4 linked regions of the Drosophila melanogaster genome follow. The protein of the gene in region 3 interacts with the protein of the main gene of each other region in a pairwise test. Each region holds a gene or a part of one and is shown on either strand. Other genes may lie near its edges. The genes, in order: CG12645, PolZ1, CG13627 and udt.

Evidence for each region.
Region 1: the proteins of CG13627 (region 3) and CG12645 interact in a two-hybrid assay, tested with the Drosophila melanogaster proteins (one large-scale study listed by BioGRID).
Region 2: the proteins of CG13627 (region 3) and PolZ1 interact in a two-hybrid assay, tested with the Drosophila melanogaster proteins (one large-scale study listed by BioGRID).
Region 4: the proteins of CG13627 (region 3) and udt interact in a two-hybrid assay, tested with the Drosophila melanogaster proteins (one large-scale study listed by BioGRID).

What each region holds. Positions count from the first base shown.
Region 1 is NC_004354.4:10,151,716-10,155,523, reverse strand, and holds CG12645 (uncharacterized protein), read right to left. Parts: upstream 1,913-3,808; coding exon 1,579-1,912; intron 1,522-1,578; coding exon 1,374-1,521; intron 1,195-1,373; exon of another isoform or gene 1,140-1,194; coding exon 1,001-1,139; 3' UTR 515-1,000; downstream 1-514.
Region 2 is NT_033778.4:7,791,833-7,799,666, forward strand, and holds the start of PolZ1 (DNA polymerase zeta subunit 1), read left to right. Parts: upstream 1-1,792; 5' UTR 1,793-1,863; coding exon 1,864-1,995; intron 1,996-2,053; coding exon 2,054-2,283; intron 2,284-2,340; coding exon 2,341-2,585; intron 2,586-2,642; coding exon 2,643-2,890; intron 2,891-2,948; coding exon 2,949-3,393; intron 3,394-3,462; coding exon 3,463-3,579; intron 3,580-3,641; coding exon 3,642-4,046; intron 4,047-4,103; coding exon 4,104-4,188; intron 4,189-4,253; coding exon 4,254-4,340; intron 4,341-4,398; coding exon 4,399-7,086; intron 7,087-7,151; coding exon 7,152-7,834. Other genes in the region: Gapdh1 (glyceraldehyde 3 phosphate dehydrogenase 1), read right to left, coding at 290-1,288. UniProt on the Drosophila melanogaster protein: As the catalytic subunit of the DNA polymerase zeta complex, plays a crucial role in translesion DNA synthesis (TLS) and various DNA repair mechanisms. Lacks an intrinsic 3'-5' exonuclease activity and thus has no proofreading function.
Region 3 is NT_033777.3:24,711,156-24,717,964, forward strand, and holds CG13627 (uncharacterized protein), read left to right. Parts: upstream 1-1,624; 5' UTR 1,625-1,751; coding exon of another isoform or gene 1,752-1,820; 5' UTR 1,821-1,936; coding exon 1,937-1,942; intron 1,943-3,628; exon of another isoform or gene 3,629-3,822; coding exon of another isoform or gene 3,823-3,828; intron 3,829-3,894; coding exon 3,895-4,452; intron 4,453-4,562; coding exon 4,563-5,930; intron 5,931-5,991; coding exon 5,992-6,153; 3' UTR 6,154-6,275; downstream 6,276-6,809. Other genes in the region: CG46316 (uncharacterized protein), read left to right, coding at 1,752-1,820; Polr2L (RNA polymerase II, I and III subunit L), read left to right, coding at 6,463-6,557, 6,641-6,749.
Region 4 is NT_033777.3:23,760,233-23,764,803, reverse strand, and holds udt (undicht), read left to right. Parts: upstream 1-1,540; 5' UTR 1,541-1,574; exon of another isoform or gene 1,575-1,669; 5' UTR 1,670-1,698; coding exon 1,699-1,747; intron 1,748-1,836; coding exon 1,837-2,255; intron 2,256-2,373; coding exon 2,374-3,185; intron 3,186-3,243; coding exon 3,244-3,823; 3' UTR 3,824-4,067; downstream 4,068-4,571. Other genes in the region: Lsd-1 (lipid storage droplet-1), read right to left, coding at 1-55, 120-418, 488-491; SdhD (succinate dehydrogenase, subunit D), read left to right, coding at 4,310-4,352, 4,444-4,559.

The sequences.
Region 1 (3,808 bases), on a different chromosome or scaffold from region 3:
GCATCAGCAGTAGCAATAATAAACTGATGCGTGGACAAAGCGGCGTATACTTGATGCGATTGAGTTTTAGCTTCCACATTATTCCACCAGCTCGGCCATAATGCTCTTTTGGTCATTATTGTTGTTGGCGGCACCGTGAACCGACTAATTGTCGAGCTCTGTCCTTTTGTTTCTCGGCCCCGCAGCTGTGGCCTAGTCAATCCATCCATCCATAGCTGGGCTTTCAGTAACGGTTTTTGGCCCATTCGTCGAAGGCCATGTTGCGCTGAAGGCTGCAACGTACGAGGCGCTAATTGAATTTGCTGCCACCGCTGGCCAATTGCAGTACCAAAAATTGAACAAAGCCGCGCAAAGCACTGAAATAGGCAGAAACCTCGAAAACAAAAAAGCGCAACTGGAGGCCAAACAACTGCGGATGGTTCAAATTCTGGGGACACTCTTCTCGATTTCGGGTATATAAGTTCTTGGCAAAAGATTGCATTTGCCCTTTTGCCCAATTACATAATAGTTTCTTAGACATATTTATAATTTTATTGTTATATTTAAGTAATTGTATCTAAATTGAATACTCTCTTCTTTTTTTTGCAGGGTATCAAATAACGAACAGCATCCACAACAACCAGCACTCGTTGGCAGGATGTGCGAAACGGAGTGATGATGAGGCAATTTGTTTAGGCCAGTTATGCATCATTTGGGCGACAGGGCAGTTCAGTACAGAGCATGGCAATGGTAATCGGTGTATGGTGTCCGATGTTGAAAGGATTGTGGATTGTGGATTGCGGATTGAGGACGAAGGACGATGGGCTTAGGTAGGCAATTCGATTTGACGGCGCACAATTTCCGGTCGCGCCCGGCACTGCGTTACTCATTACAAGCGAATAAGCGCCAAGTCCTTGCGGTCAGAAGCGCGTGCCGCCCCACTCAGCTTTATTCGCACACACGGAAAACTTTCACAATTAGCGGCCGGATTCCGGCTGCGATCCTGCAGGATATTTCCGGACTACCGCCGCCGGCAGCAGCAGCAGCAGCAGCTCCTCGGATAATGTGCGCCCAGAAAGATCTCGCAGGCGGAGCAGTAATGATTCGTTGTCCGGCAGCCATTCCATAGATACGGAAACAGGCAAGCGCAGCAGCACCAACTGAAAACAAAAACATAGATACATATATACGGATATGAGTATATCAAAGTTCGAGGTATGTAAATCGAAAGTTACTTTATCTATTTCCATTATTTCATACGATTTTTGAAAGTTTACTCATCATTTTGTTCATATTTAGTGTTAAGTACTTGAAACTTAGCACTTCTGAAGCTAACAACGTTTTGGGTTAAAAGTTAGTTAAAATTTTCAAACTAATTTAAATACCCAACTCACCCAAAAGTGCACAAGCAGAGGGCCCAAAGGTTAGTCCGAGCATTAGGTGACCTCTTCAAACGGGTGACTCCCCGTTGACCACAAGCTGGGCACACGATGTCCATCGCCTGGCTACCCAGTTTGGGTTGCGGGCTTAGGATAAAGAAATCTGGCCAATACACAATTTCAAAATATGCAATCGAATGAGTGTTCAGTTCATAGTTACCATCGCACTTACTTCTCACTGGTGGCATTGCACGATGATCGATGCTATTGTTGTCCGCTAATCCTTCCGATTGTACGCTCACCTCGTCTTTCGTTTGGGACATCGGCATCGGCATCGGCATTTCCTCCACCCTGGACCTTAGATGTTGGGGTTCTGCAAAAAGGGTTCTTCGCCGATCGTTGGAATAATCCAAATTATTCTGAATCGTAAACGTTTGCATTGCATCATAGTAGGTCGGCGGTTCCGATGGCGACAAGGACATGGGTCGCTCTATCTGCAGATCCTGGCCGGGATCCTGGTCTTGGAACAACATGCGATGCTTCTCTTCGGCCATTCCAAACCCTTCTGTTGGGCCAGTTTCGCCCTACGATGGTTTTTATTCCTTGGCAAAAAAGAAACAACCAGCCAAAAACAGTTGTCGATGATAGTGAAACATTCTGGGCCAATTAACCAGCTGCTAGCGATATCAACGAGTCACCCCAATAGAAAACTCCACAGTTGGTCAAAAAGTGCTTGAAATGGAAATGGTCTAGCTGAATCACCTTTATTTCATCGTCGTTGGAGAATATTGTCAGCTTCCGTTTCATTTCCTGTTCATAACTTTTGCAATATGTGCTGCTGACCGCTTGCACTGGCAACACAAATTTTCAAATGCTCAAAAATACACGTAAATATTTTTACAAAAATTTCTTAAAATTATTTGAAGTGTATAAATATCTCTTTAAAACGAGTTGCATAGAATGTTATGAATCAAAATCTTATAGTGTTGCTATTTCTCGCATAGAGTTTTCCACAATGTATTCCTGTTTGCGTATTCATTTTTGTTTTTCTGTTTTCCTTCAAGTTTTTTCAATATTTTCCAACGACACGATGAGGATGGAAAAATGTGAATGAAATTCTGTTTGCCACTTTGCATTTAATTAACTTTATCGCATGCATGTAAATAGTATACAGGCGCAAATAAACTAAACAGGTATACGGCAAATTATAATGAAAACTTTCATTTGCATACGGATAACTGACATATCTGGATTAGGTAAAAAAATATACCTTTAGTTTATCCAAAAAAAAAAAAGGAACGTTCTTCTTTACATTGCTTAAACTAACATTTATCGTTGTCCGTTAAATGCCTGAACTTTCCTGATATTAAATTTGCCTGTTTTTTTTTTAAGGTCTTAAATTTTATTTATGAATTCCAGGGTGTGCCAACCTTTGATTTGCTTACTCCTGCTGTTGTTGTTCCGCCATCTGCCATTCAAATGGGAATCGGGTTTTTTTGGGATCGGGGCACTGAGAGCTGTCGCTGCATAAATTTGCAGTCCATTTCAAGTTGGCTCATCGCTTTGATGTTTGATTTATTGCACGCTGTTTGTGGGCCCAATGGGGGGGGGGGGGGGTGTGATAGGGGATTGAATAGGGGTCAAGGGGTTAAGGGGGGGTGGGGTCCGAGTGCCATGCCGTGGGCTTATCGGCCGACATGCCAGACAATTGTGAATAGCAACTGCAATTGAATTTGACAGCGGCGGAGTGAATGGGGACCAACTCGCGTATCAGGTGCTGACTTGGGTACGCAAATAAATGTATGAGGCGGGCAAATAAATCTGTAAAAGGGTTCGCATTCCATTATGGATCCTGACATTTGTCTATTTATGCATTCTAAAGGTCAGCTATCAGGGTTTAAAAATGGAGCTACATAAATAAGTTAGTTGTTAAAGGTTAACAGGGGCGTATCTTTATTATTGGATTATTTATTTATTTACATTTATTCCTGGCAGTTCATTTAGTTCATTAAATTCTTACATTCAAATTAAGAGCACTCATTTGGGCCACTCCTTGCTCGATAATCCCGACGATTGGCCTTCGTTTTTTGGGGGTCTTGGGATTTGGCTCAACATTCGTTCAACTGATTAAACTGTTAGCTTATTTTCGCACAGACCGCCTATAGCTCTCTCTCTCTCTCTCTCTCTCTCTCTCGCTCTCTCTAGCAGAAGCACCTTCTCTGTCGCACTGATTGCGGCTTTGGCTGAAAATGTGTGCAAATAATATTTCGTGTAATTGCAATTAGCGCCAAAAAGGTTTTCACCGTTCACAGCTGCTGAATGGAGCAGTCGTATCTTCATCTCCATCAGCGCCCACTTTTCACCACGCTTTCACCACCGCCCATATAATCTGCCTCTTTCACTTTTTTTTTATATACAAATATACATACATATATACGTGTATATACATA
Region 2 (7,834 bases), on a different chromosome or scaffold from region 3:
CACTGCATATCTCAGCAAGTCCGCCCGATATAACCTTCACACGCCCTTGGGCTTACACAAGCAACGTTCTTCATTCGATGCACAAGTTTTATTTTTCAAATAGCTGGCATTTAAATACAGTAACAGGGCGATACTTTATTCAACAACAATAAATATGTAGCTTTGCGTAATTATGGCTATTTTGTGCATTTGAAAAAAAAGCATCCTCAATTGCGCCCCTTGCGGATTATGCAACAGTGATTCCCGACCAGCTGCTGGGCGCCGGGTTTGTACGATAGTTTTGGCTAGTTTAGTCCTTGCTCTGCATATACTTGATCAGGTCGATGACGCGGTTGGAGTAACCGAACTCGTTGTCGTACCACGAGATTAGCTTGACGAACTTATCGTTCAGCGAAATGCCAGCCTTGGCGTCGAACACAGACGAATGGGTGTCGCTGAAGAAGTCGGTGGAGACCACCTCCTCATCGGTGTAGCCCAGGATTCCCTTCAGGGGTCCCTTGGAGGCCTCCTCGACCTTAGCCTTGATTTCGTCATAGGTGGCTCCCTTGCCCAAGCGGACGGTAAGATCCACAACGGAGACATTGGGCGTGGGCACGCGGAAAGCCATGCCGGTCAGCTTGCCGTTCAGGGCGGGGATGACCTTGCCCACAGCCTTGGCGGCTCCGGTGGCGGCCGGGATGATGTTCTGGGCGGCGCCACGTCCATCGCGCCACAGTTTGCCAGAGGGACCGTCGACGGTCTTCTGGGTGGCAGTGGTGGCGTGCACGGTGGTCATCAGACCCTCGACGATCTCGAAGTTGTCATTGATGACCTTGGCCAGGGGAGCCAGGCAGTTGGTGGTGCACGAGGCGTTGGAGACCACCTTCATGTCGGGGCTGTAGGCGTCCAGGTTAACGCCGCACACGAACATGGGCGCATCGGCGGATGGGGCCGAGATGATGACCTTCTTGGCGCCGCCCTTCAAGTGGGTGGACGCCTTGTCAATGGTGGTGAACACTCCGGTGGACTCCACCACATACTCGGCTCCAGCACTGGCCCAGTTGATGTTGGCCGGGTCGCGCTCGCTGAACACGGTGATCTTCTGGCCGTTCACCACCAGGAATCCGCCCTCAGCCGCAACGGTGCCCTTGAAACGACCGTGAGTCGAGTCGAATTTAAACAGGTAAACCATGTAGTTGACATCGATGAAGGGATCGTTGACGGCCACCACGGAGGCGCCCTTATCGATGGCGGCGCGGAGCACCAAGCGGCCGATGCGGCCAAATCCGTTAATTCCGATCTTCGACATGGCTGAGTTCCTGCTGTCTTTTCACTTTTACTCTCGTTCAGTTTCAGTTCGCTATTACGACTGCCGCTTTTTCCTTTTCCCGGAGCTTTTTTCGCAAATTAGGAGAATGGCGCTGCGATGGCGGGGGAGGGTTGATGAGTATTTCGCTAGCTTTCTGCGTAGGTCACACTTAAATAAAGCTAATGTGAAATAAATCGATTAGAATTCCATTTAAAACTTTAATTTTTACAAAGGGTTTGATTATATAAGCGCCTTAAAAAGAGCCTCTAACAACTAATGATATATATGGGTTGTAGGACCCTTTACGTAATTAAGTTTATACAAAAATTAGCATTGTCAAGTATAAAATTCCTTCATCTTGCACTAAAGTTTTTCTTAACATTGTTGCCAAGTTAGTTCTTTAAGTTCTAGAGCTCTTCTTTCAATTTAAAAATATTTATTTTACGTTTTTGCCCTTAGTTTGAATTCAAAAAGCAACAATCGATAGATCGATACTTTTCGATACATGGTCACTCTAGTTTGAATTGAATTGACAACAAATAGCTCTGCGAAAACGAATCTGAGTTTTGGCGAAAATGGCAGCCGCAGGAGAGGCAATCGATGGAGTCTACTCCGTCCGGCTGGTCATCGCGGATTTCTATATGGAGAAGCCGCAGTTCGGAATGGATCCGTGCTATTCGGAGCTGCGCGGCAAAGAAATCAAGCGGGTGAGCCGGTCTATTTCACCACAGTAAAAACTGGTATAACGATCCATTCCACTTCCAGGTGCCAGTGATTCGAGTGTTTGGCGGCAACTCCAGAGGCCAGAAGACCTGCATGCATGTACACGGAGTTTTCCCCTATCTATACATTCCGTATGACAAGAAGGATTTTGAGTCCCTGGAGCGGGGCATCCTGCAGATGGCCATGCACCTGGACAAGGCCATCAACATATCCTTGGGTCAAGGCAGCTCCAACGCCCAGCATGTGTTCAAAATTCAGCTGGTCAAGGGCATGTGAGTTCTTTCTGGACGACTTCTTGGCGTAAATCTCTAACCGACCTCTCTTTACAGACCCTTCTATGGCTACCATCGAGTGGAACACCAGTTCCTCAAGATCTACATGTTCAATCCCCGGTTCGTACGCCGCGCCGCCAACCTTCTCCAAAGCGGCGCCATTCTGAGCAAGAACTTCAGTCCGCACGAGTCGCATGTGCCCTACATTCTGCAGTTTATGATCGACTACAATCTGTACGGTATGAGCTATGTGCATGTCCCGCTGGAGGTTCTCAAGTTCCGGCGCAACCATGACGATGACGGCAAGCTGGATACATCATCTATTTAAGTTCCTAACTAACCCGTAACTAACCCTTTAGTAATCCCCTATGCAAATGTCAAGCAAGCGCAGCTTCTGGACATCACAACCGCTAAGAAAGTGGCCTGCAGTGCTTTAGAGGTGGATGTCAGCTCGAACTTCATACTGAATCGGTTCCAGCTGGTGGCGAAGAGTAAGAGCAACCACACTAACCCCGGCATCGAGGCCATCTGGAATGATGAGAAATTGCGCCGACAGAAACTTGTCGAGAAGCACACCGATGCTGGCGATGAGGAGAAGGCTGAAGCGGTAATCCGGGAATACATCTTGTATTGATAAATCCTACAGCCTTGTCCATCCATCGTAGGTGCCAGTATTGGAGTTACCGCCAACACAGGAGCGGCATCAAATTGAAATCGCCGAAAGCGATATCTTCTACCGCACCGCTCTGGAGAGCAAGCTGATGACACTGGAGCAGTCCACACTGTCCGAGCAAACGTTGTCGGATCAGACAATCCTTCCCCAAGCAACCATGCAGACCACCATGCCCGGCACAAAGGCACAGAAACGCAGGTTTAACTTGCAAAAACTTCTAGCCAACGCCGTTTATCCGGAGGAATGCTCACAGGATCAGCAGCAACTGCTGGTTAATGCTTCCTTCATACAAAACCATGTTACCTGCGGCTACAGCAGCAGTGTCAGTTTGTCAACCTCCAAGGATGAGTCCGATGACTTGGACGAAACTGTAGTGGATGAGGAACTAATACTGAGCCTCACACAGCCTCATGGAGCGATACCCCATGATGCCACCTGTGAGTACACGGTTGCCAAAATTACAACTCGCACTTTGGTATAAACCAGTTGTTTTCTCCTTGCTTCAGTGAGGGAGGAGGATTTGGAACTTTTGGACGCGTTGCAGCTGTTGGAGGAGCAGAATGAAAGTGAATCGCATGTGGACTTAGACAGTTCGTTGGCTCCATTGTCGCAACATAAAAAGTGTGAGTTGTTGTGAAATGGAGTTGTTTTTTAATAAATGTTTTACACTGATCTCTTTTTGTAGTCGAACTTACACCCGAATTGTTGGACAAGGAGACCGCAGCTACTGCTGCTCTTTTCGACGAAGATGTTGACTCCGACGAGGATGCCGACCAAGAAACCCGACATGACTTCTCTACCGTCCTAGACGATGTCGATGAGTTGTTGCTTAAGTTAACACAAAGTCAGCCTGCGGAATCGAAGGAACTGAAAGCATCTAGTAAACTGCCCCAAATTGATGGTGCTGATGATCGCCTACAAAGGACCCCCATTAAATCGATCAGCTCTAAGTCAAAGTCAAGTCCTTCAAAGACTCCAACAACGCCAATAGGTCAGAAAAGTCTTCCCAAATCGCCACGTACTCCGAAAACCAGTGCAGCCAAGAAATATGCGCCGCTGGCTTTGACAATTGGAAGCAGTTCATCAAAGAGTGGGTAGAATTGATAACGATCACACGAATTTTTTTTGCAATCATAACCAATTGCAGAAAGCAACGATGAATTCGCAGGGAGACCATCTAATCCACGCCTCAGTTTGCAGCTAGACCAAGGAACCGGAACGGGAACACTTCGGTAATCAAATTCTTTGTTTTCATCATATGTACCAACATTTCTATGACCAACATTTTTGTTCGTAGGCCAGAAATCTCATTGCGCAAAAAACTAGCCATGTCGGAGATGCGACGGAAAAGTTTCGAGGACAGTTTTGTGCTCTTAAAGAACGAGTATGGTTAACTGATATCCTTTATGGCAAGGCGATTTATATTATTGTTTTCCCGATAGTTGTACTCCAGTTAGGAGTACCAGACGATCAACTAGCAATCTGGACAAAACACACATTATTTGTTCCCTTACGCCGAGGGACAGAAATCCTGGCTTGAGCGACATGTTCGAAACAGAGGACGGCAAGCAATTACCACCAAAGAAAGTAGTAAGAAAGACGCGATGGAGCACTCGGAATCAAGATATAGAAAGTCTACCCAAGGCCGGTTGTGAGATAGAGAGACCCCACAGGTCAGAAGGAAGTGCCTTGGATGAGCTGAAGCCGCGTCGCAGTGCTCGCCATAAGGTTAATTCGGCAAATCCAGATGAGTGTTCCAGCGAAATACAAACAACTGGGCCACGAGTGACGACTACAAGTTTGGATAGACCTCAAAAGAAAGCCAGACTATCCCAAAGTCCCAAAGAAAATACTAAAACAAGCATGAATGGAACTGTTGCATTGGAAAAAGCAACAAAAGATAGTTCATCTAACTCAGAGAGTCCGCATCAGCAGGAAAACTCTGTTTCTGAACAAATCGAATATCTCGAAAGTAAACCAAAAAAGTCTGATGAAACTGCACGAAGCTGTGACGAAAAGTTACAACGTGAGCTAATTCCACAGGAACCAGCTGGTATTTCGCCTGGAGATTCAGCAAACTCCACGGAGGAGATCACATTTAGTCCATGCCATGATGAGGCTATCGAATCCGACACGGAAAGCGATTATATAGTCACCAAACTTCGTAAAACACCCAACTTGAAACGCCTTCGATGGAGCATTCGGTCGGAGTTGCTGAACAAACAATTTACTCCCAGTTCAGGCATAAGACCCCCTGAGACTGAGACCACTCCTCAGCTAAGTCCCAAAAGCAATGAGAGCAACACACCGGAGCTGATGCGAAGTTTCTATGAGCATTCGCTGATTGTGAACAGTCCGTCGGTCTTCAGTGACTTCTTGGATAGCCCCGAGATACATATGGATTCTCCTAGGTCTGCTCCTCCATCTCCCGATAGCAACTCGTTCGTGATTGCCCCCTTGGAGCTGCCTCCATCCTACGATGAAGTGGTTAGCGGTAGCCGTAAAATGGACATACCCGAGTACGAGTTCCAAAAGCCATACTACAGCAATCCCTCCGATGTGAGCAAGGTGACGGAGGTGGGCTTCCTGGTGCTCCACATTCCGGGGAACAAGCTAAATGACTGTGATCCCTTCCAGAGCATACTGGGCAATGATCGTGGCCTGGCCTCCTGGCGTCGTCGGCAACTGATAGCCATTGGTGGCCTGGCAATGTTGCAGCGACATCGGGGAGAACAAAAAGTACGGGAGTATTTCAGCACGCAACAAAGAATAGCAATCGAGCCAGCACAACTAGCACCCACCTGGCAGGAAGCCAAGATCTGGTTGAAAGCCAAGGAACTCCTTCGTCAACGAGAGGAACCAAAAAAGTCCTCTGATGACATAGACAGCCCCATCAAGATCAAGCGGCAGAAGATCACTATGATGCTGCAGGCTGAGGAAGGCGATGGCGGAAGTGGCGATGAAGATGCTGGTGAGGAACTCGATTGCAGTCTAAGTCTAACGCCCTTGTCCCAAGCTAAGGATAAATGCAAGGCAACCCCTACCAGTAGCAAAGCCAGAGAAACAGGAAAGAGTCGCCTTAAGCGCGGAACTAGGCTCAGCTTCATAGGAAGCCAGGACGAGGAACCACCAAGCTCGCAGTCCAGCGAACAGAGCGTCTCCAGTAGTGCGGCCCAGGCGGAGCTAGATCGTAGTTCCTTTCTGCGCCAGTTAGAGGGCAGTAGCCAGGATAGGCAGCACGACCTCAGCTTTGGACTTAGCCACGCTACCTTGGACAACACGTTCGGGTTCAAGGTTAATTTGGAGAATCTGCAGCAGGCCAAAGCCGACATTGATTGCAACCACCTGACAATCATAACGTTAGAGGTGTTTGTGTCCACGCGAGGTGATCTCCAACCAGATCCGATGCACGACGAGATTCGGTGTTTGTTTTATGCTATCGAACACAGTTTGCCGGATGAAAAGCTGCCTAGCAAAGCCTGCGGCTATATAATGGTGAACACTGTCCAGGATTTGCTAAGTGAAGGACCTTTTCATGGTATAGATCGCGATATTGAGGTGCAAGTAGTGACCAGTGAAGCGGAGGCATTTGAGGCGTTGCTGGCTTTGTGTGAACGGTGGGATGCGGACATATACGCAGGGTACGAAATCGAGATGTCCTCTTGGGGCTATGTGATTGATCGGGCCAAGCATCTGTGCTTCAACATCGCTCCTCTGCTGTCCCGAGTGCCCACACAGAAGGTCCGGGACTTTGTGGACGAGGATCGGGAGCAGTTCACCGATTTGGATGTGGAAATGAAGCTCTGCGGCCGCATTCTGCTGGACGTATGGCGCCTGATGCGCTCCGAGATTGCACTGACGTCGTACACCTTCGAAAACGTAATGTACCACATTTTGCATAAGAGATGTCCCTGGCACACTGCCAAATCCCTCACCGAATGGTTCGGCTCACCCTGCACCCGCTGGATAGTAATGGAATATTACTTGGAGCGTGTGCGTGGCACCTTAACTCTCCTGGATCAGCTGGACTTACTGGGACGGACTAGCGAAATGGCCAAGCTCATTGGCATTCAGTTCTACGAGGTGCTGTCGCGCGGCTCACAGTTTCGCGTGGAAAGCATGATGCTGAGGTGAGTGTAACCCTTGAGCGCAGGCAAAATATGTTGCATCCTCCCTGAACTCTCTGTCTTCATAGAATCGCCAAGCCAAAGAACCTGGTGCCACTTTCACCCAGCGTCCAGGCTCGCGCTCATATGAGAGCTCCCGAGTACTTGGCGCTAATAATGGAACCGCAGTCACGATTCTATGCCGATCCCCTAATCGTGCTTGATTTTCAGAGCTTGTACCCCAGCATGATCATCGCCTACAACTACTGCTTCTCCACGTGCTTGGGTAGAGTAGAGCACCTGGGTGGAAGTTCGCCCTTTGAATTTGGCGCGTCGCAGCTCCGAGTTTCGCGGCAGATGCTGCAGAAGTTGCTGGAGCACGATCTGGTTACTGTTTCGCCATGCGGCGTTGTGTTCGTGAAGCGTGAAGTGCGCGAGGGCATCCTGCCGCGCATGCTCACCGAGATCTTGGACACGCGCCAAATGGTCAAACAGTCGATGAAGCTCCATAAGGACAGCTCTGCACTTCAGCGGATCCTTCACTCACGGCAGCTGGGCCTTAAGCTGATGGCCAATGTTACCTATGGCTACACCGCCGCTAACTTCAGTGGCCGAATGCCTTCAGTGGAAGTGGGCGATTCTGTAGTTTCCAAAGGACGGGAGACCCTGGAGCGTGCTATCAAACTAGTGGAGAACAACGAGGAGTGGAAGGTGCGTGTCGTCTATGGCGACACGGACTCCATGTTCGTTCTTGTGCCGGGTCGAAATCGAG
Region 3 (6,809 bases):
TGTGCTAAATAAATTGTATAAATAATGCAAACCCAAAAAAAAAAAAAACAATGCAAATCATATTAATGTAGTTACATTTTTTTAGTTTTTACTCGCTATTTATATGAGGTATATTTACACAACGGAAAACGTAAAAGTAGACATAAATAAAACGTAAAAAGCGATAAAAAAAATTCATTAATTTACATTGAAATTAAAGTAAACTAAACCGAAATCAGAGCAGAAAGCATAAAATGACAAATTAGTTTAAAATGGTCCTGCAAAGGCAAAAACAACAAAAAATAAACAACATTTTAAATAACAAATTGAAGAGCTAAAAATGCATATTTTAAACATTTGTCTAAAACGCAACCGAAAGAAAAAACCAAAAGAAATGATAAATGTATGAAATAAAAGGTATAATAATAATATTATGTTGTTAATGTTTAAAAAACCTTGTTAAAAATAATATTTCAAAATAAAATATAAATACGGAAAAAAATAGCAAAGAAATTACCACCAAACTGAGAGCTTTATGAAAGTGAAATTTTGATTTATGTCCCAAAACTTTGGGCCGCCAAATACTGACCCAAAAAATGGCTGGCCGGGCGTTATAAAATTCCAATGACCAATTGCGTTTAGAAATTGGATGTCGCGCCTTGCATAAAATGCGACCAATTATTGGGGAGCGTTTCATAAGCATGTCTCATTATCATCGAAGGGCCTTTGGTATATGTACATCCGAAATGTGAAGCCTATCATACGGAATCCATTGGTTATGGAAATTGCATCCATTCGTTTTTGGGACACATCTGAATTAAGTTACATTACCATCAAATATCGCTTAAAATACAGCTCAAGCTTTTCTACGAAACCCTTAGCCCCCAATTGAGCTGACTTCCGTACAAAAACTAATTCGAAAAAGCTTTCACGCATTCCTTTGAGTCTTCGACGAGTTTAGCCAGATATTTAATGCAGTTAAATATGAGTTTAAAATTATTGGAAAAATATTGGCAACATCTTAAAAAGTATGAAAATGTTATAATAATATCTTATTATTCCCAAAATATTGTTTGGTTCCGCTTTAAAATGTTTGCTATTTTCCCCACTGTGCCTGCCGCATTTCGTAATTTCAATCGGTGGCTCTGCTCCTGTTTGCTGCCCCAGCAAAAAAAAAGACTTAAAAAGTGGGGCCAACAGGTGACAGACGGCGGCATTGGGGGGCCATCTCTTGATCATGTGCGCCTGGTCCGCATTGCTTTTTAAGGTAAAGAGCGAGTGCTGACTTGCGACGACAACAAGTTCGCTGCTTAAGTCTTTTGTTTGGCGCCGTCTCTTTCGCTCCTTTCTTTCGCCGGCCAAGAACAGTCAATGGGAAAACACTTTCGTTGCGATTAATCGGCCACTTGCTGGCAATTCATGTAGCTGCTGGTCGCGTGCTGCGCTTTATCCACTGCAAACTAGTTTTATTTGTTGGCTTTTTATTTATTTTATTTTTTTTTTTTTGTATTTCATTCGGCGCCAGAGTCAAGAAAATCCGACCACTTTCTTCAGTGCGCACTTCCAATGCGAGTCGTCACTCCATTCCAGTGGAACTCCAGCGGATGGGCACATGGTTTTTGTCCGCCACCAGCGACCAACTAACAGTCAGTTGTCTTCGCGACTTGAACAGGTGCGGACGTCGCTGCTCCTCGAATTTATATTCGAAACTCTTTACAAATCTTTTGTGCGTGCAGTTTAAGATCGAAGAAAGCGCCGCGGCGCTCGTTGACATGAAGTTAATTGACGTGATTATATACCTAATTGCCATTTTGATCTTCATCTATTTGCTGCTGGAGTAGCAGAAGAAGCCAAAAGTTGCTCGACATTTGCCCCAGAGCTTTCTACAGTCTACCAGATCCATCAGCCAGCTACCCGACAATAAAACAACGAAAATCTCTAGCAAATCCGAAAGAAGATGAGGGTAAGTGATTCACGCGGGTATTGTGAGTTTGTTGGCCACAATTAGCGGTTATTAAAAAGTCTCTCACTGCGCACAGCATAACACAATAATGGATTGGCTTTAATTTCTATTGCAAATTCAATGGCATTTCTTCTTCTCATCGGCGATCAACGACTTCAGACTGAGATTGGCATTCAAATTTGGTATCACCTTCACCTTCGCCAGCAAAGCCAGCAAATTGCAATCGCTGCACAATGAAGCTGTAGCTTCTTCAATTGAATTGAAGTCGTCGGAATATTTGTCAAATTGCAAGGTGGCCGGCAAAGCGAGCACTTTCATTTGCAATGGGAGCACTTGATGCGCCAAGTTTCGCCAAGATCCAGACAATGGATGGCTTTACGTGCACCAATTGCATCGCACACTGTGAGTTGCAAGCTGCAAACTGTGAGGCACAGGCGGCTGCCTCAATGTGCAGCGGGCTTGAAAATAAAATGCTTGCCGCTAAAATAAAAGTTGCATTTCGAGTTGCAATTTGGGTTAACCACACCGTTGTTTATGGTCGACGCTGTGGCGACAGCCCGCTGATCAATAGTTCCGCCTAGGCCGTTGGCAAAAATCCTTTGTCAGGTTCAATGGCACTGCCGGCCAAGCCCAAAAGGAAACCCGAAATTATGCGAATTCCATTTGGACTTTCGTTGAACGGGTTATCCGCCGTCGCCGTGGGCCATTCCCTGCCAGACTTTTCAGTGTTTGGCATCGGGCACCCGTCTCCTGGCAGCAGTTCATTCACCAGCAGGCCGCCCCTGGTATTTGCATATGATTATGATGCATGTTGCAATGGCGACAAACTAACTAACTTACTAACTAACCACTCCATAAACAATAAGCCACCAATTTTGTGGCAATTACCCCGATCACCGCCGCTGCAGTCAGTTTCAGTTGCAATCGGCAATCCGTTTAAGCAAACGCAGCACGTAATCAATAACTATACGTATTGGACTCGCCTAGGCATTTCACCTCTTGATTGACGTCTGGCTAACGGCACACCGTATTGCCATTGTCATTGCCGCCGCTCCGGTGGCTCCAGTGGCTCTGCTGGTGCGCTGCCCAGGTGAAATTTCAATGTCCAGTGGCCGCCTCAAATTACCCACTTCCCCTTCCATCGACGAGACTAAAGAGACCCATGCCAGCCGCGCTGAAGAGGCACATACTCATTCTTTTCAAGGAATAACATGCATTTCATTTTAATGGTTCCTATATATGTTTCTATAAAAATCTGACATTTTACGCCTTAATAAATTTATTAGATGCATGATATGTATTTCTTTCTTCGTTATTGTGTTATACCTAAACTAATAGAGCCATTCCCTTTAACCTATATAAAATGCATGAAAAATCCAAAATACTCGTATATAACGTATAAGGTAGGCTGTAAGTTTCTAAAGCCAATTTCAATGAAAGTGTCACCAAATGAGTCAGTGATGCATTATACCCGCCGAATTGTAAACAATGCGACAGTAAAATTTATAGAACGAAGACATTTCGATGACGGACTTTTCACTTTCATTCTATGGCATTGTGGACAGAAAGTTTAATCAGCCATCGAAGCGGGGAAAATGGGCAAAGTATTATGGCATACCCGTATAAATATATATGTATGTATATTTATAAATGCGAAGCTACTTTGTTTGGCTCGTTTGCTTAAGCAGCTTTGGTTAAGTAGCCAATGGCAGGCGACGTGATAAAATTTTAGAAAACCGCCAATTTGTTCAAATTAAGGCCATTACAGTTTTGTTGCTGTCCAGCGATTACAAGACCCTCCTCCTTCCTCACCGCCCCTTTTTTTCTTCTTCGCCTTTGCCGGGCTTAGAAAGTTTTTATTTCTTTCGGCGTTTTGTTCGATGTCTGTATGTACGAGTAATTATGTTTTTGATTTAATGGTCTTTGACATTGTCCCATCCCATCCTCGCCAGCCATTTCTGCTGTTCGCACTGCTCCTGGCGCTGGCTAACTGCGAGCAGCGTCCACTGGTTTTCACCAACTGGCCACCGAAGAGCTCCAAGCAGCTGAGTCGTCCCGCCATTGGAGCTGGAGGTCCTGGATCCGCTGGAGCGCCTGGAAAGCAGCGCACGCTGGTCGTCCAAATACGCAGCGATCAACCGGTGCCCTTGGTACTGAAGGGTCGTCCTGGACATGGAGCGCACAGCCATGCCGCCCATCTGGCCCATCCGCATTCCGTGCATCCTGCACATGTCCTGTCGCACGCCCATTCACATGCCCATCTACACTCGCATCCGCTGATCCATGTGCCACATCAGTACCAGCATCAGCACCTACGCGGACCACCTCGTCCCATGAAGCTGAGTGGTCCGTCGCCCGTGTACCTGAAACCAGCTGGATCTCTAAGGAAACCACTGAAGATCAAACTGAACAATGTGAAGCCCAAGACGAAACCCACATTCGGATACGACAAGCCCTTTAAGTACGAGAAGCCCACTGCTGTGAGCTACAGCGAGCTGCAGAATCTGCCGGTAAGTGGAGTCCATTGAAAATGTCCTGCTCTTAAGATATCCTTATACTGCACATGCCCCCCACTCCCCTGAACATATAACATAACTCCATTCATGCTGATCCCCCACAGCTGGACACGCACAACAACTTCAACACCGAGCACTTTGCACCCATTTACACGGTACCCGCACCGAACCTGGCCGACAATCACCTGGACGTGGAGGAGGGTCATCTTGACACCTCCTACCTGTACAAGCCTCCTTCCCAGACCCAGATCCAAACACCATCCTCCTCAGCCCGTCCCCAGACATATTTGCCACCGAAGTACAGTGTGCATGAGGACGAGACCAATGACCAAACCATTCGTGATCCCATTTCGGGTTCGCAGAAACTCTTTGCCCCAGATCCGGATCCCTCGCTGCCCACCACCAAGATTCGCCCCGCCACCGAATCTTTCAATACGCCCAGCAACAACAAACCGCTGCCCGCCGACGTCCAGAGTAACCATCTGCCAGCCCAGCCATTGGTTCAGATTGTGGGAGCCCAGACGGCAGCCCAAACGGCGCCAGAGATCTATCCCATTCAGTATGCCCAGCCGGCGGTTCACTCCCAGTCCTTTATCGCCGCCATTCCGGCTGCCCACATTCCCATCTATAATCCCACCTACCTGGTGACGCAGTCCAACCAACTGTACTCGGCCCACAAGCAGCAGCTTTTCAAGCCCAGCTCGGAACCGGTGGTGGAAACGGGTTACGTGAACGCCGATCTCACCCAGGAGGTAGCCAGCAATGGACAGATACTGCAGGCAGCCAAGGATCCACATCACAACATCCATCCTGTACTTGATTCGGCGCCACAATATGCTGCTCTTATTGCCGCTCCGGCACTGGGTGATCCCAATGAGGGTGCCTACGAGACGGCCTCCTTCCACCTGCCCAATGTGGCGTCAGCGGTCACTGCCTCCGTTCCGGAAGGTGGCTTCGTGGTGTCCAACTTCTATGGCCATGCCCACGACTCTTCCCAATTGCTGCAGGCCTACGCAGAGGAGGAGGCACGTCGACAGCAACTGGAAACAGAGCAAGCCGCCATTGAGCTGCAAAAGCAGCAGCAGTTGCATCTGGAGGAGCTTAAGGCGCAGGCCCAGGAGCAACAGCAGCAGCATCAGCTGCATCTGGAGGAGCTGAGGGCTCAGGCGCAGTACCAGCAGCAGCAACAGCAGCAGTTCGAGGAACTGCAGGCACAGGCACAGGAGCAACACTTGCAGCAGCAACACCAGCAGCATCAGTTGCAGCTCTTGCAATTGCAGCAGCAGCAACAGCAGTTGCAGCAACCAGTGCAGCACCATCCGCCGCAGCAGCTGCAACAGCAGCAGCAGCAGCAGGTGGCTCAGGATCCAGCAGCAAGTGCATTCGAGGAGCACCAGCGATTGGTGCAGCAGCAACTTGGCGCCAACACGCCACTTCGCATCTTTGTGCCCGACGAGGAGGCCGCCGAATCGGTAGGTAAAATTAGACAAGAAATTCTTCCGTATGCTAACATTTGAGACTTTCCTTGTATAGCGACTGCAAAAGAGATCGGATGATGTGAAAAAGGGCACGGTGGAGGATGTGTCCAGTGCGGGTCGGAACGACGGCGACAGCGAGGAGTCAGCCAAAGATTTGTTCGAGGTATCCACCTCCGTCGAAGTGGCCGGCGAGCATCTCACGGCCAGCAGTAATTAGTTAACGCACTTTTAGTCTTCGACGCTGTTCAAAAATATTTATTTACACACTCATTTGTAAAAAACGCATTCATGTAGCGAGCAGTCGGTAGTTAATAAAAATAACCATTAATTTATTCAAATATTCGTTAGCGTTCTTTTTGAATGGATATAAGTTTTTGTGTTATCGATACATTGTAATGCTGGTGAGATAAAAATACAACTGCACTCTGGTCACACTCATGACAAGTAAAAACACATTTTACCAAAAACATTGTTGTGATTGCACATTTTTCGTGATTTAACTAAGAATTAGAGCCTGATCTACAAAATGATTATTCCAATCCGTTGTTTCACCTGCGGCAAGGTCATTGGCAACAAGTGGGAGTCGTATTTGGGTCTCCTGCAAGCGGAATACACCGAAGGGTAAGTCACGCGGGAAAGTCTCCTTTCCACGCCGCATTTCATCATATAATATATATATATTATATCTTACAATCCAATCCCAGAGATGCCCTGGATGCTTTGGGTCTAAAGAGGTACTGCTGCCGTCGCATGCTCCTGGGCCACGTGGATCTTATCGAAAAACTGCTCAACTATGCTCCTCTGGAGAAGTGAACGGCACAATGGAAACCATCCAAACTGGACTTGGGAATAAAAACTCTAGATTTTATTGTA
Region 4 (4,571 bases), 950 kb from region 3:
TCAGAACCGGACGCACCAGGTGATCGGACATGTACTCCTTGGTGTTCCAGTACATCTTCAAGCAGAGAATTATGCCCTTTTGTCAGCGCATGGGGGGGAGTTACTAGCCGACTACTTACCATTTCGGGCGGCAGATAGACCAGTGGTATGCGCTGCTCCAGAATGTCCAGGCTTTTGCACATCACGTTGTCCAGGCGCTGAATGGATGGCTCGAAGAGCTTGACCGCCGGCTGGATGGTTTCGTAGGCGGCCGAAATGGTGGCCTCCGCCGTCTCAAAATACCATGAGAATAGCCTATTGTTGTTCTTCACCTTATCGTAGATGGTCTCCACCCGCTTCACACTGGATTCCACAAGGGGAATGGAGCCGATGCGATCGATGGCCTCCAGATGGAGTCCACTGCCGCTGGTTGCAGTTGCTGGGTTCAAAGATTTAAAGTCGTATTATTAATGGGGGTTGACACTACCAGGCAGCGCGTGTCACTAACCCATTTGTGTTGGGATTTCTCGAGAAGATTCGGTTGAGATGCGAGAACTGTTGCTGTCGCCGGCTCAATTGATACTGGCAGGCCTCCGATCGAGCTGCTACCATATAGACTTGGCACACCAAATCGCCGCTGTCTGATCGCCGATCATGCTCGGAGTCCAAGATGACCTTTGCCAGCAGATAAGGCGTGGATGGAGGCACAAACACCGTTCACCTAGACGCTCCGCCGGACTTATCAGCAAACACGCCATTCGCACTAGTGTGGGACTCCAAAGTTCGAACGTACTATATGGGGACTGCAGCTTAGGAACTCCGTGCATGTGAATCACATTCCAGGAATATCTGTACAGCGATCATAATCGCACCATATATGACCCGATTAGCAGCGGTAATGGCGAAAATTGCTGTGCTAATTCCGCACAAGTGACGAAAAGGTTCAAACTGCAGTCCGTTGAATAATTGCGGGGGCGTTCTTCCTCGGGTTCGATGTGCCCGTTTCTGGGGCTCCAGACTCCATTGCCATTAACCCTAGACTGCAAAAAGCGTGTTTATTCAAATCTATATATAGATATGGAAACATTTTTTTTTATAAATTAAGCTTTATTAATAAATCTCATATCTAATTGTATTAAACGGCAATGTGTATGTAATAGCTCAACTAGTGCTAATTAAAAATTTAAACTTGAGGTTCAAGTAATAATATTTCATTACAAAATGTATGGTTGGGTTAATCTTTTACAGCTCTTTGTTGTCTGAGTACGTGTCATTAAGATTATAGAGTAAGTCTAAAAAGCGTTTTAATAGAAACGATTTTTCTTAGGAATTGTTAAAAGAGTTGATATTATATATTTGTATTAGCTATTGCATACAACGAAGTAGTTATGCTGCATACAGCATAAACTTGAGTCTAGATTATCCAGGAAAAGTCGTAAAAAAATACATATATGTAAATAATATTAATCTCTATTTTTAAGTTCAAAAAGTAACGCTCAATTTGATAAAGAGTGGATTAATAGCTATCAGCCAGTGCTGTGCAGCTAGCTCTTCGTTAAAGCCAGTGTTAGTAAGGTCGCCTTTGCCCATCATTGGTAATTTGTGTTTGTTGCGTGTTTTGCTATTGTTTCTGACTAAAACCGCCTTTGGTTGCTTCCATTTGAAAGTAAATTGTAATAAATATGTTTAGTTGTTAGTTCTGAGGACACCAAACACGCAATGCATTATTACCTGGCTGCTATCTGCCTGGTGGGCTTAATGGGCTCAGGTCAGTGATTCGATTCCCAAGCCACACCCAAGGCTCCAAGTGAATCATGTGAATTGGCCACCCGAAACTAAAGCCCATCCATTTTACAGCCCTCGGTCAGTACAACCTGGTGCAGAAGGACAACTGCATCATTCCAAAGATCCTGCAGGGATCGTGGTTCTCGTGGGAAACGGGCCTGCCCACGCTGACGGTGATCGACGCCACCTCGATGTCCAGCCGAGGCTACTGCATCAACTACATGCGCCACAAGGGCGACGAGTACTCATTTGTCTTCAAGGAGCGATCCAAGGACTGCTATCACTGTGTCAGGACCATCATCCGCACCCTTAATGTGTTCGAAAAGTTTGAGGGGCCCTGCGTGGGCATACCCGCTGGACAGGAACCCACCGTGGACTATGTGTGTCGTGGTGTTAAGGATGACCAGCAGTTGATAACGCTCTTTAACGAGAACTTTGTGCCCATCAACTGCCGATCGTCGCTGGAGGGAGTGTGGCATTTTACGTACCAGGTAAGATCAAAATAGATTCATAGATCACATAATTTGCACATGGTGCGGTTTAGTTAAGGGTCTAGAAACATATCCATTTTATGTTGATTAGTGATCTTGATTTGAACTTTTATTATAGAACCGATTCCGATTCACGGGCGTATGCGATAAGCCCGACGCTCGCATTCAGTCCTGTCAAACGGCAGGAACGCAGTTCCTCATCCAGAACCAGAAGTTCAACGTCACCTATCAGCAGTGCGAGGGTATGGAGGGCACATTCACCGGCACCGTGGAGTTCAGCTGCCTGGGCGATTGGTTTGTGGGCAAGAACCACTACTTTGCCGTGGCCAACACAAAGGAGTCGCGTAAGGATGAGAAGTACCGCTGCTTCCTTAAGAATCGTGACGATGATCTTTACGTGGGCGTTTCCATTACGGCCGAATGTAACACACTGAAGACGCCAGAAACGTCACCGGAGCGTCTAAAGCTGACGCCAGTGAAGGCTGAGTTTGTGGAACCCGGTTGCACGCTACCACAAAACTTTAGCGGAGAATGGGTGAACACTGCCAACATTGATGCCGATGTCTCGATCAGTGAGACCCACATAAACGAGACGTACTATCCGGATAAAGCTCGATACCGAAAGACAATCTATGTTTGCCGAGAGCGACGGGGTAATCGTGTGATGATGGCTCGCCTCACTGTCGACGGTTGCCAGAAGGATTACGTGTGCTTTGACTTTATGCCCCGCCACCACAACATCATTCGCTACCGCAAGGGTTTGGCTGTGATCAAGGACGATTTTAGTACAGTCTGCTCTTGGGTTCAGTTCCCCAATTCGGAGGCATGGAAATATGATCTGTTTCTTGCTCGAAATCCTGTGCCTGTTCGTTGCCCCGTTGCGGGAAAATTCAACTTTACGCAGCGAGGAGAGCATCCCTTCAGAACGAGGTTTGTAATGTTTTGCAATCGTAGCATGAAACGTATAATTAATGTGTATATTTCACAGAATTCTTGGTGGTGTCACTCTGAGTCCGCGTCCCGATATCCATTGCAAGCAAAACATCTCGGATTTATCGGTTTGCGATACAGATCAAAAGGAATTGGCGGTGGATGAAAACTATTGCCTGTCGGTGGATCACTTGGGTCGTCCCGTTGATATCTACAGTGATCCCGATTACCGCATGAAGTGCATTGGCTTCTGGAAGGAGAACCTCAAGTCCTACCTGATTACGTACGACGATTTGGATCCGCTGTCCAAGTATCGCTGCTGGGTCTATCAGCGTGCCGACCTCAACCGTGTCCTCATGTCGCAGGCTGTGGGCGCATTCTGCAAACTGGAGCAAGATGTGACCTCGTGGAACCACTCGGAGGGCGCTGCCGTAGCCATCGATGCCGTGGAGTACGAAAGGGAGCGTGACGACTGTCCCATGCACTTCGATGACGGATTGAATCCTTGGAAGCCGTCGGATGCCTCCAACATCATATTTGATTGGGACTTTTACCGAGCAGGAGCAGCGACACTAAAATTTCAACTGACTGGCCTCGTTATCGTGGTCTTAGTCCAGGTTAGGAGTTTATTAGCTTAATAATATCAAAAGTATTTTTTAACTATTCCATCCAACGAAATTTACAAAAATTTTACAACCAACATAAAGTCACTTTTAGGAGCAATTGCGTGCCTTAGAATGCGAATTTTAGAAAGTTTTAAGCAAATTTTAAACTTAGTTTGTAAGATCATCACAATTTTTACGTGTAACAGCCATTCCGTCCCAAACGAATCTCAAATGTATTGTGCAAATAATTAAAGCAGTTAAATAAATGCCTTGAACTAAATGTTTTCTTATTATTTATTACACCCTTTAATTGTTTGTTGAGTTCAAAATATTTTACTGGGCTTCCCTTATTATTGTGGGACAATATCTTGACCGCTACTGTTTACCGATAACAAATCGATGACAGCTGACTGCACTAGCCCAGTGCTGTGTAATTTTTTAGACAAATCGGCCCAAACCGAACGGAGCGATAGAGTTTTTATTTTGAGCTGAAAATTCTCAATATTTACACATCCCAACATGTCCCTCTCGTTGCTTCTGCGTGGCGCTGTCCGTTGCAATGGTAAGGACCCACTGGATGGCAAATCGCCTTGTTATTGGACGCAAAACAGCTTTCATTATATAACCAAACCGTTTGTTGGTATCCCAATTAGCCGCAAATCTTGTTAAGTCGGCTCGCATCACTCCCCTGAAGAGCTACTCCACCCTGGTGGCCAATGTCCAGCGGAAGGCGGTGGTCCAGCCCCTGGCCGTGGCCAAGATTGTAGCGGTAAGTGTTTAG